Linked DNA regions of Arabidopsis thaliana. The protein of the gene in region 1 binds, or shares a complex with, the protein of each later gene. Each region holds a gene or a part of one and is shown on either strand. Other genes may lie near its edges.

Region 1 (6,501 bases):
GTCTAGATTAACTTGAGCTTTAGCAATTCGCATGAAGAAATAAAATTTGATGGTTAATTTTTGATCCAAAAATCATCTGATTACTAAAAATAATAAAGAAGAATAATCGGACCGACAAGGATATTATTCGTGGACGACAAAAAGTTTGGCAAGGGAGTGAGTTCACTACAGTAAGACGGCATATGTATTTAAGGATTACCAAACTTTTTGCTTTAGCCAAGGAAGCTTTTTCTCAAGAGCCAAGAGGCACACTTGTAAAAATATATAATCAAATATATGTATATATCAAACTAAATCAATACATATCAAATGTTGTCCTTGCATATACACAAGTAATTTCACATATGTGATAGTGATAGTGGTAGAGATCATCATCTTAGTTGAGACTTAATTAAATATGAACAATCAAGTTCGCTATTGCATCTATATATGTTTTTGCCTTTATTTCTAATCATGTAGATTAAGATCATTTTTATGATATGCGTATAAATATTGTAGAAAAGATTAAGGTGCACAATCTAGATTTGGATAGATAGAAAAAGTAGAGGCATTGGTTTAGCTATCATATGTTCTCATCACATCAAGAGACTTGGATCTTAATTAATCAATGTTTCCATATTTACTGATAAATAAAAAAGTTATAAAGTAGACAAACCGTTGATATAATTTTTCACGTCCAAAGAGAGTACGTAGATCACCTCATGACCAGGTTGCTTTATAGTGTTTAGATTGTATAGCATTCATATTCTGACTGAATCTCTAGAACATATGCTCAAATCATTTCGTTTGGAGTTTTGACCCATCCTCAAATCATATTATATATGCATTCTATGCAAGTACAAATATGAACCATTACATTTTGTTGAATTAGGTTGCATGTCTTTTTAGTTTTGCCCACATGTTTTTCGTGTGAGAATTGTGAATTCCCCATGTGAATCATAAATGAAAAGATAACATGGTGGGTCGTTCACAACTTACAATTCGGAATTATTTTAAACGTGTCTGAATTCCCTTGGCACTGTAATGATCCGTCTGTTACGTTGCCTTGGGCCTTGGGCTTTGGAGATGGACTAATATTTACACAAGTTGGGTTCAAGGTCATTGAGCTTTCTTTCAAACTATGATTAAGTAGTGGGAAATATATGATTCATATATCACTATTACTTGGTATTACAGTTCTAATACAGATTATACAGTTGATTCATATTGGTTCGCCGTCGATACTACATATAATCATGTCATGAGAACGTGTTGTTCGTGTAAAATTAACACAACAAGAAAATTACGTTTAGATGTATCAAATGTTATCCTAACAGATTTCACATGTTATATAGTCTCAACGAAAAAAATTAAAACATTTAAACTGGGTCAAAAGATGTATTTAAGCGATTTTCTTATATGGTGTAACATAAGTTGACCAAAAAGATTGAATATGAATTAGTGTGAAGATTGATTCAATGACTAAATCTAGTTTAATCATAAAATCTAAACATTTATCTTTTTTTAATAAAACTCAAACCGATAAATAATTTTGTTTTAGTAACAAATTAGATTTTATAAGTAAATTAATTTTTTTATTATTATTAAATGTCAAATTTTAATTGAATAAAATAAAAAAAGTGAATATAAGGGTTCAACTCAAATATTTTTCAATTCAATATATATAACCAAGATTTTCGTTACCACTCCACTTAAGTAATGCAGTGAATGAAAAAGAAAAAATAATCAGTGTCTAAAATCAAAATACCGTTGGTCAGTTGAATAATGAAAAAGAAAAGATCTTTGATTTTCCTTTTACTTGGTAGATTCCTACTCTTTAGGATTGAGGTTTTAATAAAAGACTTTAATCAACAAGCACTAAATTTAAGATACTGGTGTTGTGTAATAATAAGTTTGGGCCGAGCAAAAAAAGAAAAGGACTGGGCCGAGAAACGGCAAATATTTGTGTCGTTTCAAATACCAAATTCAAAATCTCCATTCTTTTATTACTCTGCTTATTAGCCGTCTAAGCATATTACAGCTGTCAATCATCGAAAGCATGTGACGCGTCTCTCTTATTTCATCCCACTCGCGTTCATATACACGTGTTATCTACTCTCTATCCGATTTCCGCCACGTAAGAATCTAGACACTGATGTTCTTATACACATAGCGAGTAAGCTGTATTTTACACTCTCGTAGCTAGTCAGTTTATTGTGATAGCGACACGGCTGATTTAGGGAAATAAATTAAAAACGTTGTCTTATTCCTGGGGCAAAAAAAAGCAGATAAGTAAGCAAAAAAAAAAACTCATTAATTACGAAAGTACCCTTAAATTTCTCCGAAAGGAAATTTTTGCGCCGCGTTTCATCTTCTCTCAAATCAAAATCCAGAGAGAAAAAAAAGAGAGGATTTTTCTCATGAGATTCTGAGAGTGTCTTTGTTCTTCTTACAAAGAAGTGTTTTTTCTTGAAGATTCTTCGGTCGCTGTTCGAAAAGTTGTTGTTTCGTTTCTCTCGGAGCTCAAAATCAGGTAAAAAATTTGTTACTTTATATTTTCGTTTTTCTAGGTTTTTCGTAAGAGTTAACCTAATTTCAAAATTTGTTTTTTTGGGAGATATTGTTGGGTTTGTGTGTAAATAGTTAGGTTGATTTTTTTTTCTGATTTGTTTGTCGTTTTGTGATTTTTTTTTTCTACAGTCGGGAAGAAAAATGGAAATTGAAGTTGTTTTGGGAATCGGAGAAGATGCGGGACCTAAGCCTTGTTCTGCAGAGATTGAATCAGCTGAGAAAACCCTAAAAGATGATGGTGTTGTTCAAGAGAACGGTGTTAGGGTTTCCGACAACGGTGAGAAAAAGTCTGATGTTGTTGTTGATGTTGACGAGAAAAATGAGAAGAATTTGAACGAATCTGGAGTTATTGAAGATTGTGTTATGAATGGAGTTTCTTCCTTGCTCAAATTGAAGGAAGATGTGGAAGAAGAAGAAGAAGAAGAAGAAGAAGAAGAAGAGGAAGAAGAAGATGGCGAAGATGAAGAAGAAGAAGAAGAAGAAGAAGAAGAAGAAGAAGAAGAAGAGCATGGATACTGTGTAGGAGATTTTGTGTGGGGAAAAATTAAGAATCATCCATGGTGGCCAGGTCAGATTTATGATCCATCAGATGCTTCAGATTTGGCTTTGAAGATAAAGCAAAAAGGGAAATTGCTTGTGGCGTGTTTCGGAGACGGGACATTTGCTTGGTGCGGTGCGTCGCAGTTGAAACCGTTTGCAGAGAGTTTCAAAGAGTGTTCGAAAGTGAGTAATTCGCGGAGTTTTCTAGGTGCAGTGGAAGAGGCGGTTGAAGAAATTGGTAGACATATTGAGCGTGTATTGGTATGTGATTGTGCTGAGGAGAAGAAGCATGAGTTTGATAGTCCTTTAGTTAACAATGCTGGGATTAAAGAAGGTGTTTTGGTGCGTGATGTGAGACGGGAAATGATTTCGTCGTTGTTGATTGGTAAACATGGAGAGATTCTTAAAGATGTTAAGAGTTTTGCAGAGACTGTTAGTTTTAGTGGCTTGCTTGAGCTGGAGATATTGAAAAGGAAGGTATCTGCGTTTTATCGGTCTAATAGAGGATATGGTTTGACTGAGTATCATGAACCTCAATCAGTTCCAGGACTTGAAGACAAGAACAATGATGATGATGATGATGATGAAGAAAAGAATGTTAATGATGGGTTACAATGGCGTGCTAAACGGTCTAGAGTAGAAGAAGTAGCAGCTTTGGATCATGAAGAGTCGTCGTCTCTTCAGAGATCGTTAGAGAAGTGTTCTGGTTTTCCTGATCATAGGCTTCCCCACAGAAGGAAGGAGAAAAGCATTACTGAAATAATTGAGAAGGAGTCAGCTGCTAAGGTTAGGTTTGAGACAGAACCTGCGGATGGAGATGTAAAGTCAAATGTTAAGTCGGGTAGGAAGAAAACAAAACGCCATGATGAAGTTAATGGTGATCTTGAAAATGTAACTACTACTGCACTGTGGAGGAGAAGAAAGAGTGAAGTAGCTACAATTGAAGACGGTGGTAACAAGCAAGTGGTAGAAAGTAGCAAAGGCAAAACTTCGAGGAAGAAGAAGAAAATGGATGTGGATGATGGCGATGATGATGGGAGTGGAGACAAAGAAGAGTCTGAGGAAAAAGAGATTTCAGATCTGGAAATAAATATCGATTCAACTTCATTAGCTTCGCTGCGGAAAAAGGTAAGGTTTGATGATTCAGTCGTTGAAAGGAGTACTGAAAATGGCGAGACCGCTACACAAACATCAAAGAGAGAGAGGAAGAAGAGCAAGTATCTCTCGCCTGATTTCTTGTCAGATTTTTCACGGAAAGGAAGAAAAAAGAGTACAATCGAATCTGAATCTTCGAAAGTTTCAAGTCAGAGCCAAGTAGACGAGCGAGTGACTGATGCTAGTGATAGCCTCATGGAAGTGGAAGAAGATACGTTGGATAAACCTTGTGAACCATCATCTGATAATGGATTAGGTCAAGAAGAACTGTCTAGGGAACTTAGTAATGCCGTCGACTTTCTGAGGTTGGGAGCTACACCAAAGGAAATGCAGGATCTAATTCGTGTAGCTGCTCTTGGCACACAATATCCAAAAGACAGTAGCTCAAGAGACATGGTAAGAGAATTCATGACCATCTATAGAAGCTTCACATATCATGATGGAGCCAATCACAAGTTCTTAGGGAGCTATGATAGTTCGGATAAAGAAAAGGAAGAACTGAGTGAGATGGGTAAGCCTGTAACTAAGGGGAAAGAGAAGAAAGATAAGAAGGGTAAAGCAAAGCAGAAAGCAGAGGAGATAGAGGTAACTGGTAAAGAAGAGAATGAGACAGACAAGCATGGGAAAATGAAGAAAGAGCGAAAACGTAAGAAGTCTGAATCAAAGAAGGAAGGGGGTGAAGGAGAAGAAACCCAGAAAGAGGCTAATGAGTCAACAAAGAAAGAGAGAAAACGTAAGAAGTCTGAATCAAAGAAGCAATCAGATGGAGAAGAAGAAACTCAGAAAGAGCCAAGTGAGTCAACTAAAAAAGAGAGAAAACGTAAGAATCCTGAATCAAAGAAGAAGGCAGAAGCAGTTGAAGAAGAAGAAACCCGGAAAGAGTCTGTTGAATCAACCAAGAAAGAGAGAAAACGGAAGAAGCCTAAACACGACGAAGAAGAAGTCCCGAATGAGACTGAGAAACCCGAGAAGAAGAAGAAAAAGAAGAGAGAGGGAAAGTCTAAAAAGAAAGAAACTGAGACGGAATTTTCAGGAGCTGAGCTATATGTTACATTTGGTCCTGGTTCAAGTTTGCCTAAAAAGGAAGATCTGATTGAAATATATGAAAAATTTGGAGCTTTGGACAAAGAGAGAACTGATACGGTCGACAACAACTTCTCTGCCCATGTGGCTTTCTTGGATGTAGCTGATGGAGAAAAAGCCTTTGAATCCTCACTAGAGAAATGTCCGTTTACTTCTAATTCGACGGTGAAATTCAGACTCAAGTATCCAAATGAGAGAACAGAGGAGAAGAAAACTGAAGCTGAAGTTGCAGAGACGACAATGGAGGTGGAATATCTGAAGAAAAAGCTGGATGAGATGAAATTGTTACTTGATGGATGCGAAGGAGGAATGACTGAAGAAGTGAAAGTGAAACTTGAAGGTGAGATGGTAAATTTGTTGGAGAAAGTGATAGAGATGAGATCTTCTTAGGATTATGATTTTATGTTTTTATTTTGTTGGTTGAGAACTTTCAGGACAGGTTTTAGGATATTTATGGTTTCTGCAAAACATAACAAAAGTATTTTGAGAGGTTAATGTCTTGGTGATACTATGATCTTGTCGTAGGGTAGACAGAATTAGATCGATGTTCTATGTTTTTGTGTAGACTTTTTTAAAGTTTACCAACTTTGATACTAAACCCATTAGTGGGCTTTTGGTTTATCACTCTCTTGAAAGCCCACTAATTTTATTATATTACAAACAAAATTTTCAAAATCCTTTCGACGAGTATTGAATGTTTGATGAAGCCATACAAAGAGGGAGGTTGGAGATTTTTATTAGAAAGGGAGTCTCGTCGAGACTGAATCATTTACGTAATGCTAATTAGTGATCCAACAACATAAATGTTCTAAGACAATGAACAAATTCAACCATTTGATTGATCACAAAAAATGTATCCAGATAATGTATAAGAGTTAATTAAGATATTTGGCCAATTTCAAATTCAATTATCAAATTCAGAACATTAGGCTTAATCATGTTTGCTTGTTCATGTTTGCTTGTTCGTTTTTGCGTTAGTTCTCGGAGAAGCTGTAGACTTCTATCTTTGAGGTTTTGTGGACGGACCTTGAATAATCATGCTCGTGGCAACTAGGATGAGGATTCCAATACTTCGGTACTGCGGCAACAACGCAAATTTCCGAGCTTCGCGGACTCGGAATCGGTGTTTCTCCTCCTAACTTGGCCTTGATCACTCATCGGCGATCCTTTGCA
Region 2 (4,678 bases), about 15 Mb from region 1:
AATCAGAGATACACAACTTGTAAACATCACAACCCAATGAGCTTTGATTGAATGACAATTTCCAGATTTTGAATCAATTTACGATATACCTTTATCTTACAAACCCAAATTCCATTTGAAACTAAACTCTAAACCCAAATTCAGAGCTCCTAACTAAAACCGTCACATTTTCTAATCGAAACCATTGAACTTGGCTACATTTACTGTAAGCAAAACATGAAGTAAAATTCACCGGAAGAAGAAACAACAAAAATAAACTGTGATATATGCCCAAGCAAGTTTTGAAGATAAGGACGAAGAAGACGCTGACGGAACTAGAGGGTTCGGATTATAAAGAAAAGAAGAGAAGACACAGAAATAAACAGAGGCATTGGCATTTCTTTTAGAATATAGAATTTGTTGAGAGGAGTTACTTAGTATTGATCGCTTAAATGATAAATACCGTGTTCTTTAAGTATCTGTATCAGTTGTTTGGAAATAAAGAGCTTGTTTCTAACAAAAACACTCAAAATCTTCTGAGGATCACAAACTTCACAATCATCATCTTATCACTTATGGATAAAGTCACCACCATGCAATTGTTTTCAGAAATATCAAGTATAAGAAAGAAATTACAAAAACAAAACCTGTGAAAAGAAGCTAATCGATCTCTTGTCAAAGCTTGAGAAGGTAGAATCAATGGCTTCCAGGTAAACAACTGAACAGCCACCATCTTTCTTAATCTTCTCCTTGATTTATCTTACGCTCTTTTTGTTTCTCTCCTTATATATGTGGGTGGAGTATGGACACAAGGCTGGTTTTTTAGATTTTTGCGTGATTATTTTGTTGTTGTTATATTGTTTTGGACCATATTAGTTAGCCCGTGGGGTGTTATGAACATAAAAACAAATCGACTAATTTTTTTTTTGGCTTAGAACTTCATTTGAATAGGTAAACAACGCAGAGGAATCGCGTCCATAGAATAGAATATAATAAAAACAAAATGGTACTCTTATCGCTTTGAATTTTAACTACTTTCTCTTATTCCACTCACTATTCACGTTTTTATATACATACATACATATAAGAGTACATGTGCTAATAGCTGTCCAAACAAAAAAAAGAGTACATGTGCTAATAAACGACTATTTTTTAGTACTTTTGTTTCAATCGTTAAAATCTCATCCACAATTTTGAATCTCGAACGTTACTGGCTCCCAAAATATCCTCTCAATGTTGAGACGCCACATGACATAACAATAAAAATGACAAAGACATAACAAGAAAATGGATTTTGCATTTTTTGACCATTGAGAGAGCTAAGCACTTTACACAATAAACGGTGTTATTGTGTTTATATATGAATTGATATATTATTTTGTTAGTCTATGAGGAGTATTTAAAAATATCCCCAAAAGAGGTTTTTCAAAATATCACTTTTTAGTAAAACATACTATTAAACAAGTTTAGAAAACTTATAAAAAAGTGTCTTAATGTTGTAGGAAAACATTTGGTTCTCATTAAACATAAAATTAACAAATTTAATTCTTTAGAAATAAACTAGTTGTAGTAAAATTCTAATCTACTTGTAGTAAAATTCTATTCTATTTAATATCAGTAAAAACAAGTCAAATTCAAGTTCAAATAAAGAGGGAAAAGCAAAAGTTTGAAAATTTTGAACCTCACTCAATGTAATAATGTATGGTTGTGATGAGTCGAGACAAAATCAAGTACTGCCACGTGGAATAATTCGTGACGTACACGTAGCTCTCTCATAAACCCCCTCAAAACGAAAGAAACTCTGTTATTTCTTCATTACCCAAAATCTAAGCTTTCGTCGCCGGCGAAACCGTAACCGCCACCGGAGGTTCTGTCCACCTTTTTTGCTCTCCGATTATTTTCTTCGTCTCTCGTATGATGTACTGTTTTTGCTTTAATGGAAGCATATACTGAAGCAATTTCTGCTTTTTTTTGTTTCTTCGTTGTCTAGGGATTTTTGTTGGTGCTCGTTATGTCTACGGAACCAGAAGGAGTCGAATCTGACTCCAACGCTGATTTTGCCATAAATGCGTCGAGTTTTGACTACGGTATGGCTCACACATCTGAAACCCTAGCTGATCCCATGAGCTTTCAAGCTCAGGACTTGGTAGTGAACCTCACTGGAGTTGAGCGAAAAGTATTTGTCTCTGCTCGTGATGATAAGGATAGTCTCTGTAACGGGGTTGATTTTGATGCTGATTCAGATCTGCTTAAGAACAAGGATAAGAAAGGATTTTCTAAAGAGAATCTGAAGCTTTTTGACTCAGATTTGGTTTGGGCTAAACTAAGAAGTTATCCATGGTGGCCTGGACTGGTCTTTGATAAATCTGTTGCCTCTAAAGCTGCGATGAGGCACTTCAAGAAAGGAAATGTCTTGGTTGCGTATTTTGGGGATTGTACATTTGCTTGGAATAATGCATCTCAGATAAAGCCTTTTCATCAGAATTTCTCTCAAATGCAGGAGCAGAGTAACTCCGCTGAGTTTCGTGATGCTATTGATTGTGCTTTGGATGAGGTTTCAAGGAGAGTAGAGTTTGGTTTATCTTGCTCTTGTGTTTCAGAGGAAGCCTATAACAAACTCAAGACTCAGAACATAATCAATGCTGGAATTCGTGAGGACTCAAGTGTTAGATACGGTGGAGACAAGTTATCGGATGGAATCTCTTTTGAACCTGCTAAACTTGTGGATTATATGAAGCATTTAGCTTGCTTTCCTTGCTATGATGCGACTGAGAAGCTGCAATTTGTGATTAACCGAGCTCAGGTATTGGCTTTTCAACAATGGAAAGACTATTCTCACTTCATTGACTATGAAACATTTGTAAGGTCGGTGGAATCTGCTGCGACCCTGGCTTCTCTCCCAGAAGTAAATATGGATGAAGGAATATCTGCCAAAAAGAGAAAGACAGATTATAAAGATAATGCTGAACAGACAAAGGAGAAGACTTTGTCAGATTTGACTGTAAAGAAACGCTGTGGGAGCAGATCAACTGAGAAATTGGATGGTAAGTCGCATTCTGAAAAGAAGCGTAAGGTTGAGTCTTCGGAATCTGGTAAGTCTGAGAAAAGGATCAAGAAAAGTCAGCAAAAGGAGGATTCAGTGTCTAAACACTCTAATGAGGAAAGTCTTTTGTCAGTGGGTGATACTAATAAACTGCAGAAGACGGCTGAACCGTGTCATGGAACTGGAGTGGAAAATGAGATGAATTCTTTAACTCCTACACTTAAGCCTTGCCGTGCTTCTAAATCTACGGAAGTTGAGAATGAGAAGACTAAGAAGCCGAGACATCAAGAGCTTGCTGAAAGAAAGATTTCTTCTCCTGATGAGATGCTCTCAAGCCTTCACGCTGCCAATACCTCAACGGGAATACCTGATTCAATCAACATAGACCCCTCGAATTATGAAGATTTTGAAAAGTTCATTAATGAACTGTTTTGCAGTAAACTCAATGGTGACTCAAAGAAGGCAAGTATCACTGAGACATCAGAACCTTGTGATAAGAAAGACTCTGCAGAAGAAGAGATATTACCTGCAAATAAAGAAATCACTGGCTCAGGCTCGAAAGAGCAAATTGGTCTCAAGGACTGTTCTGCAGATTCATTACCACCCTATGCTTTAGTCCTCAACTTTGCGGATTCAGGTTCGGTTCCATCTGAAGAAAAGCTGAACGAGATATTTAAACGTTACGGTCCTCTCCATGAGTCTAAGACTAAGGTCACGATGAAGGGTAAGAGAGCCAAAGTTGTGTTCAAAAGAGGGGAAGACGCAAAGACTGCCTTTAGCAGCGCAGGGAAATACAGCATCTTTGGACCTTCTCTTCTAAGTTACAGACTCGAGTATGTTTGCCCCAAACGGAAAAAAACAACATGACTGATTGAGTCACGGCATCTCTTAACTTTCAGAGATTAGGGTCTGATCAGATATCATCAGCTAGGTCTTATGATGAGAGTAGATTTTCGATAAATAAACGTAACCTAGGATTTATGATGAGAGTAGGTTTTCGATAAATAAAAGTAACATTCGTGTGATGAGACTAATTCTTAACTTTATGACATACAAAACCAAAACTGGAAATACCAATGATAACAGTAAAGTTAGTCGCAACTGAAGATGAGGCTTATAAGTTAAAAGAGTAAATTGATTAAACACCAATAACATTAAACGATCATGTCTTAATTCAAAAACTCATAAAATGTAACACAAAATCAAGTTCTTGAAACATAAAGTAGAACAGAACAAGACTTAAACTGAACTATCAAAAACCATATCAAAAGCTTGAAGCTTTTTGTACGGGTTGCTTAAGATCTTGGCTTCTCCTTCTTTTCCTTGAAGAGGGCCAAGAGTGAAACACCAGAAACCTTCACGACCTTGAACCTAACTCCGGGAATATCTCCCACAGCGTGACCCTTACGACCAAATCCAGCAATCAAGACCTCATCCTGCAACACCATAAACAAGAAATGTATCAGCATATGAATGAAACTAATCCATAGTGTGATGATTGAATAGTCATTTCATGTGACTTACGTTTTCCTCGATGTAGTTCAAACAACCATCATTGGGGACAAAGGCAGCAATCTTCTTTCCATTCTTGATAAGCTGAACTCTAGCACACTTACGGATAGCAGAGTTAGGCTGCTTAGCCTCAATACCACTGCA
Region 3 (6,384 bases), 6.3 Mb from region 1:
GAATGACTAGCTGGTCTCGGGCTTTTTCATCAGTAAGCCATTTTTGCAAATTTTCCTGAAAAAACAAACACCATATAAGTAACGACAATTAGCACCACAAAAGGCTGCAATGAATTAAAATATATACATGAAACAAGAGTTATGAAATTATAGTTATTAGTTAGTATACATCAATTACGTAAAAAGATCCTAACCCTAACGCAGCAGGCAAACACAAAATAAATCAGCGAATTACCAAAATAAAGAAGTGATTACACAGACACAATGGAAGTTATTCAAAGAAAATTATTCAAGGTACAGGGAGTAACATGATGAAAACTACACATACCCCAGGGACGTAGGGCCTGGCCTGAGGAGGCTCCCACTCCTCCTTCACATTCATCAACCTGTCAAAATCATCGAACATGTTTACAGCAAAGATGTGAGACTTGTCCAACTTGTAGCCATGAGACTTTTCCTTAGCGTTTTGTGCTTCCTGCAAAGAGCCCCAGACATTGAGAGAAACTCTTAGGAAATACTCAACCATTAAGAACAACCTAGTTTGGGCTCCTTTCTAACAAGAGAAATAAAGTATTGAAACATATGACGCCGACATTATTGCTTCAGAATCCAACAAAACAGAGATTAAGCTAATCAAGTAGATAAATAACCTGAGGAGTGTTGAACTCAATAAAACAGTAGCCCAATGTCATCTTGGTATCGGGATCAACAGGCATCCACAGTCCATTTTCCTTAATCACACCTAACTGGTTGTAAATTTTCTTGACAACACCTTCAAGTTTCTCAAACTTCTCCTTGGGAACAACAGGGAGGTGATCGACCACGATAATGTTACCGAATCCAGTGTCGAATTCAGACTGGTCATCCTGGTAAACAGCTTCATCATCACTACAACCATCACAGAAAAAAAAAGTGTATAACGAATCAGTTCCATTTTTCATACGTTCATAGATAAAATGTATAAATATAATAAGCTTTGCACCATCAAGGAAAGAGATAAACCAATTCGAAATACACAAAATTTTCATACATACAATAGCAAAACCTAGAATAAAATCATCCCATCGTATAAACACAAGAAGATTAGAAATAGAAGTGACCGTATATGAACAACCAGAGATCTAAAGGAAAATCTCACCTCTCGATCCCAAAGTCTTCTCCAGGAGGAAGTTGGATGGAATCAAAATTAACCTGAGACCAATCAATCCCTAACTTAGCAGCTCGGGCATCAATATCAACGACCTCCATGATTTCAAACCTTATATCAAAAATCTGCCAAAGAAAGCCATATAGAGAGAGCTATCAGTCTTTAACACATTCCAACTTTAAGTCGATAAATAAATGTGAAAAATCTGAGTCTTTAGATCTAAAAGTAGGTTTTTTGTTAACCCTAAACAAGTATTAAAACAACAAACTACCATGGCCAAATGTTCAAAGACTAAAACTTTGAATCATCACTCCCACTATAATGTAAATCTAAAACCATGCCTATAGAAATTATTAACTATACTCTAGTTTTATTTAATCTAGAACCCAACAACAGGTGAAATGGAGAAAAATGGCAAAATTTTCCTGAAGGCTCTCTTATATCTATTGCATCGTTCTGGATCCTGTCTCATAGCTACATAAGAAAAGACAAAAAAAACAAATGAACACTGAAATCGAGATAAGAAACGTACCCAATACAGAGATCAGCCGAGAGCAAAAAACAAAGAAGAAGACGGCGCTTGAAGGTGAGGAAGAAGGAGCGATTGTTTTCAGGTCTTTTTGGATCATACGACGTCGGTTCCTTAAACGGGCTTATAAATATTTATATGGGCCGGGTAAGCCCAATTCAATAGTAATCAGTAGATCTAATTTATTGTCTTTCTCTCGATTAGCTTTTTTTTTTTTTTAACAATAATCCGTCTCTTTCATTTGGTGTCCTCGAGAACCAAATTCGGATAATCTCTCATCGGAGGATCGTTGTTGTTGTTGCTAGGGTTCTTATCGATTTGTAATGTACAAAACTAAATTAATCCCGGTGATGAACGAGGATGCTGTGATTGTTCAACAAACGGATTCGATTCAGGATCCTAAGGTAACTCCAGATGATACTGTAGTTGATTCGAGCGGGGATGTTCACGAAGCCATTGATGATGATGTTGAAGCTTCTTCACCTATGGAGCTAGATTCGGCGGTTACAAATGACGCTAGGGTTCTCGAAAGTGAGAGATCGGAGAAAGATGGTGTCGTAGGGAGTGAGGAGGAAGATGAGATTAAAAGCGAGGATGTTTTAATTGATAAGGATGATGAGAGTTCTGAGGTTAAAGAAGAAGAAGAAGAAGAAGATGGCTCTGATGATCAATCTAGTGAGCTTGGTTCTGAAGCTGATGAGAAGGAATTAGATTTGGGTTTGAAGGAAGAGAAAAAAGGAGTTTCGGATTATAAATCTCTTTTATCTGAGTTTGATGATTATGTTGCAAGTGAGAAAATGGGTTCTGGAGTTTCGAGGGCATTGAGTTATGGGTTTGAAGTTGGAGATTTGGTTTGGGGAAAGGTAAAGTCTCATCCTTGGTGGCCTGGTCATATATTCAATGAAGCTTTTGCGTCTCCTTCTGTTCGTCGTATGAGGAGGATTGATCATGTTCTTGTTGCGTTTTTCGGTGATAGTAGTTATGGTTGGTTTGATCCTGCTGAGCTTATTCCTTTCGAACCGAATTTAGAGGAGAAATCACAGCAGACGGTTTCGAAGCATTTTGTGAGAGCTGTGGAGGAAGCCAAGGATGAGGCGAGTAGAAGGTCAGCTCTTGGTTTGACTTGTAAATGTCGGAATCCTTATAACTTTAGGCCTAGTAATGTGGAAGATTACTTTGCTGTTGATGTGCCTGATTACGAGCTTCAAGCCGTTTACTCTGTTGATCAGATTAAGAATTCTAGGGATAAGTTTTTACCCGCTGAAACCATTTCGTTTGTGAAGCAATTGGCGTTAGCACCTCAAGAGTGTGATCCAGACAGTTTAAAGTTTATGAAGAAGAAAGCAGTGGTTTTTGCTTTCCGCAAGTCAGTGTTTGAGGAGTTTGATGAAACTTATGCACAGGCCTTTGGGACAAAATCACCCCGCAGTTCAGTGAGTACGCTGGAACCTCATAATAGAGCACCGCCTCGAGGTATTAGCCACTTTTCAGAAAATCATGTTATTGTTTGTATATGGGTTTTTTCGTTGTAGACTTGAAACAGCTTTCATATGTGTTACATAGATATTAGATACTGTAACTTGGTTTTAGGGTTTTACTTTTAGATCCTCTGTGCTCATGATTTTAGGATTTATATCTTTGTAGTTGAATTCTTTACATAGCATGCTTGAAAGAATAGTGAAGTCTCATTGATGCTAAACTGTGCATTCGAAAACGTGGCCTGATAACAATTCTGCGCCTCTTTCTACTATGGAGAGTCCCGCATACATTTACCTTGTTTGCTTTATTGTTCATTTTCTTGGTGGGTGATGTGTTGTTTCAATTTCTCTTATTTCCAGCTCCCTTGAGTGGCCCACTGGTCATAGCAGAAACGCTAGGTGACCTTAAGAGCTCTAAAAAACCCACAAAGGTTAAGGTCTCTAAAAAAAAAGACAAGTATCTTCTCAAACGAAGGGATGAAGCTGGTGATAAGTCTGTTCAGTTTGGCGAAATTGAAGCAAGTTCAGAAGCTTCTCATATCCAGGGAATTGATGGATCTTTGGATGGGGATTTTGGGCTGCAGAGAAGAGCTCCGACGCTTCAAACTCCAATGAAAGATGAGAAGTCTGGGATCGTCAGCATGGATTTTGCCTCTTCAAATACAGCTATTCCTGGTAAAGAATTTTCAGCTTCAAAGCCCTCTCTTGATGAAGAAAAGGGTCTAGCTGAAAAATCAAAGGAGAGAATGGAAGAAAGAGCTGCTGTACTTCCAGAGCATGGGAAATCTGAAGCTATGGCGAGTCTTAAACCTAAAGAAGAAGCTGGAACAGATCTTGGATCAGCTGGAAGTTCTCTCCAGCCTCTGCTTGAGTCTCATACCTCAGCATCTGAGGGGAAAAGTTCCACAGGGTCTGTAATCAAGAAAGTCAAAGTTGCTAAACGATCTTCAAGTGAAATGAGCTCGGAGAATCCTCCTTCAGAGCCAAAAAAGAAAAAGAAAAAGAAGAAAGAGCCTGATTCTGACCATCCAGTGAAGAGAAAAAATTTGTATTCTGGGGAAGCTGGGGCCAAGAAATTGTCCCAGCTTGGTTCAGCGCATTTACAAACCTATATGGAAGCCGATGTGCCGCAGCTGTTGAGCCATCTGCAAGATCTCTCTCTTGACCCTTTCCACGGTTTATCCGTTGCTTCTTTTGGAACTGCTAGGAAATTTTTTCTCCGTTTCCGTTCACTTAATTACCAGAAAAGCTTGTCTGTATCTTCCTCTGATGCTACTGTCGAAAATGCCAGAGACACAAAACCCTCAAAACCTGTCAAGACAGTGAAGAGAACCGAAGACCCATCAAAAGCTGGAAAAAAACGGCTCTCTTCTGATCGTCAAGATGAAATCCCATCAGCTAAGAAGCTGAAGAAAACTAATCAGTTGAAATCAATGGCTTCTGAAAAGAAGATCATTCGAGAAGCAAAGGATAGTATAAAACCAATAAGAGAGCCAAGCAGGGTGGTACAAGCAAAACCAGCCAGAGGTCAAACCGGGAAGAAAACAGCTCCATCAGTTAAGGTGGTTGAGCCAACAATGCTGGTCATGAAATTCCCACCTGGCACATCTCTCCCTTCAGCCGCATTGCTAAAGGCGAGGTTTGGTCGCTTCGGGCTGTTAGATCAATCCGCCATTAGGGTTTTCTGGAAATCATCGACCTGCCGTGTTGTCTTTCTGTACAAAGCCGATGCCCAGACTGCTTTTCGATATGCAACAGGAAACAACACTCTATTTGGAAACGTGAATGTAAAGTACTTTCTCCGTGATGTGGATGCTCCTAAAGCCGAGCCTCGTGAGCCAGAAAACACCAAGGAAGATGATGAACCACAGAGCCAGTGGTTGGACCAAGCACCACCGCTTCACCAACCAACATTACCGCCACCAAACGTCAACCTCAAATCCTGTTTGAAGAAACCAGTTGATGACCCGAGCAGTAGTAGCAACAATGGAAACGGTAACCGCGCAGCCGTAAGAGTCAAATTCATGTTAGGTGGTGAAGAAAACTCGAGTAAAGCAAACACCGAGCCACCACAGGTCACAATGACCTTGAATAGAAACAGTGGACCTTCTTCATCATCATCATCTGTTCCAATGGAATTTGTTAGTAAGAAGTTTCAAAACGTTGTTCATCATCAACAGCTTCCTCCTTCTACATTGCCTCCAATTCTTCCTCTCCCTCCACAATACACAAAACCACAACAACTTCCCATTAAACCAGTAGACCACGTCGAACCACCAATGCCACCTTCAAGAAACTTCCGTGGCCCGATCCCAGCGGTTAGCGCTGGGGACATCTCTCACCAGATGCTCAACCTTTTGTCAAAATGCAACGAAGTAGTGGCTAACGTCACGGGCTTATTGGGCTACGTCCCTTATCATCCCTTGTAACAAAACGAAGCCCGTTGAGAGAAAATGTGAGTGTTTGTTTGGTTTTTGGTGATAATATTGTATGTTAGGTATTAGTTTGGTTCGTTAACTTTAAATCATGTATTACAATTTATAATGATGAATCTCTCTCCCTCTCCCTCTCCCAGGCTTGTTTTATATTTCGTGTATTATTTTTTGAAGTTGTATGCTTTTGATATTTGATGCACTATGCGGAACCAATTCCATTGTTGTGTTACGTTATATATTCTCATTTGGTCTTAATCTACTTGGTGTAAATTTAGGCCTGCCCAAAATGGCTGAGCAAAGTTGAAAATTAAAGCTATAGGAAGAAATTGTGATTACAGTAAAAAAAATATAAAATTTTGATCTTATTCAAAAAAAAGGTAATTTTTATTACCTCTCTTTAAGTTCAATACAACAACATCGACATGGATATTGGATTGTGAAGGCGAAAGAGAGAGAGAGAAAGAGATGGCACGACTTGGTACCAAATACGAGTCGAACTCTTGTCCTGAAGTGTAGAGGCCTAAACCAGTACACAACCAACTGGACAAGGTTAGATTTGGTGGAAAGCCTGCCTGTTGGTATTACTTTATTCGCAAAAAACGAACATTAATTTTAAATGAATATAATTTGCTACGTCTCACTTTTTAGTTCCGTTATAAAGTGGTCGAGAAAGGAACCATGAGACCAAAAATGAAACCAAAATAAAGAAATTCAAATGAAGCTAAAATCCTATTTCAACACATTTGGTTGAATATCGTGAAGTTTCCATTACAAAACTGTCTCAGTCGTCGTCTC

What was found.
Region 2: AT5G40340 (region 1) and AT5G02950 share a complex: the UniProt entries of both Arabidopsis thaliana proteins name them as parts of the PRC2 (polycomb repressive complex 2) complex.
Region 3: AT5G40340 (region 1) and AT5G27650 share a complex: the UniProt entries of both Arabidopsis thaliana proteins name them as parts of the PRC2 (polycomb repressive complex 2) complex.

The regions. Positions count from the first base shown.
Region 1 is NC_003076.8:16,130,871-16,137,371, reverse strand, and holds AT5G40340 (Tudor/PWWP/MBT superfamily protein), read left to right. Parts: upstream 1-1,978; 5' UTR 1,979-2,512; intron 2,513-2,679; 5' UTR 2,680-2,691; coding exon 2,692-5,718; 3' UTR 5,719-5,975; downstream 5,976-6,501. UniProt on the Arabidopsis thaliana protein: Together with PDP1, PDP2 and PDP6, interacts with MSI4/FVE and MSI5 to suppress FLC, MAF4 and MAF5 expression by regulating the function of the PRC2 complex and modulating H3K27me3 level, thereby promoting flowering.
Region 2 is NC_003076.8:688,963-693,640, forward strand, and holds AT5G02950 (Tudor/PWWP/MBT superfamily protein), read left to right. Parts: upstream 1-1,722; 5' UTR 1,723-1,846; exon of another isoform or gene 1,847-1,969; 5' UTR 1,970-1,990; coding exon 1,991-3,889; 3' UTR 3,890-4,137; downstream 4,138-4,678. Other genes in the region: AT5G02940 (ion channel POLLUX-like protein, putative (DUF1012)), read right to left, coding at 627-712; AT5G02960 (Ribosomal protein S12/S23 family protein), read right to left, coding at 4,318-4,458, 4,547-4,673. UniProt on the Arabidopsis thaliana protein: May influence gene expression by regulating the function of the PRC2 complex and modulating H3K27me3 level.
Region 3 is NC_003076.8:9,783,512-9,789,895, forward strand, and holds AT5G27650 (Tudor/PWWP/MBT superfamily protein), read left to right. Parts: upstream 1-1,895; 5' UTR 1,896-1,999; coding exon 2,000-3,149; intron 3,150-3,514; coding exon 3,515-5,583; 3' UTR 5,584-5,843; downstream 5,844-6,384. Other genes in the region: TIF3B1 (translation initiation factor 3B1), read right to left, coding at 1-55, 329-553, 651-888, 1,139-1,248. UniProt on the Arabidopsis thaliana protein: Together with PDP2, PDP3 and PDP6, interacts with MSI4/FVE and MSI5 to suppress FLC, MAF4 and MAF5 expression by regulating the function of the PRC2 complex and modulating H3K27me3 level, thereby promoting flowering.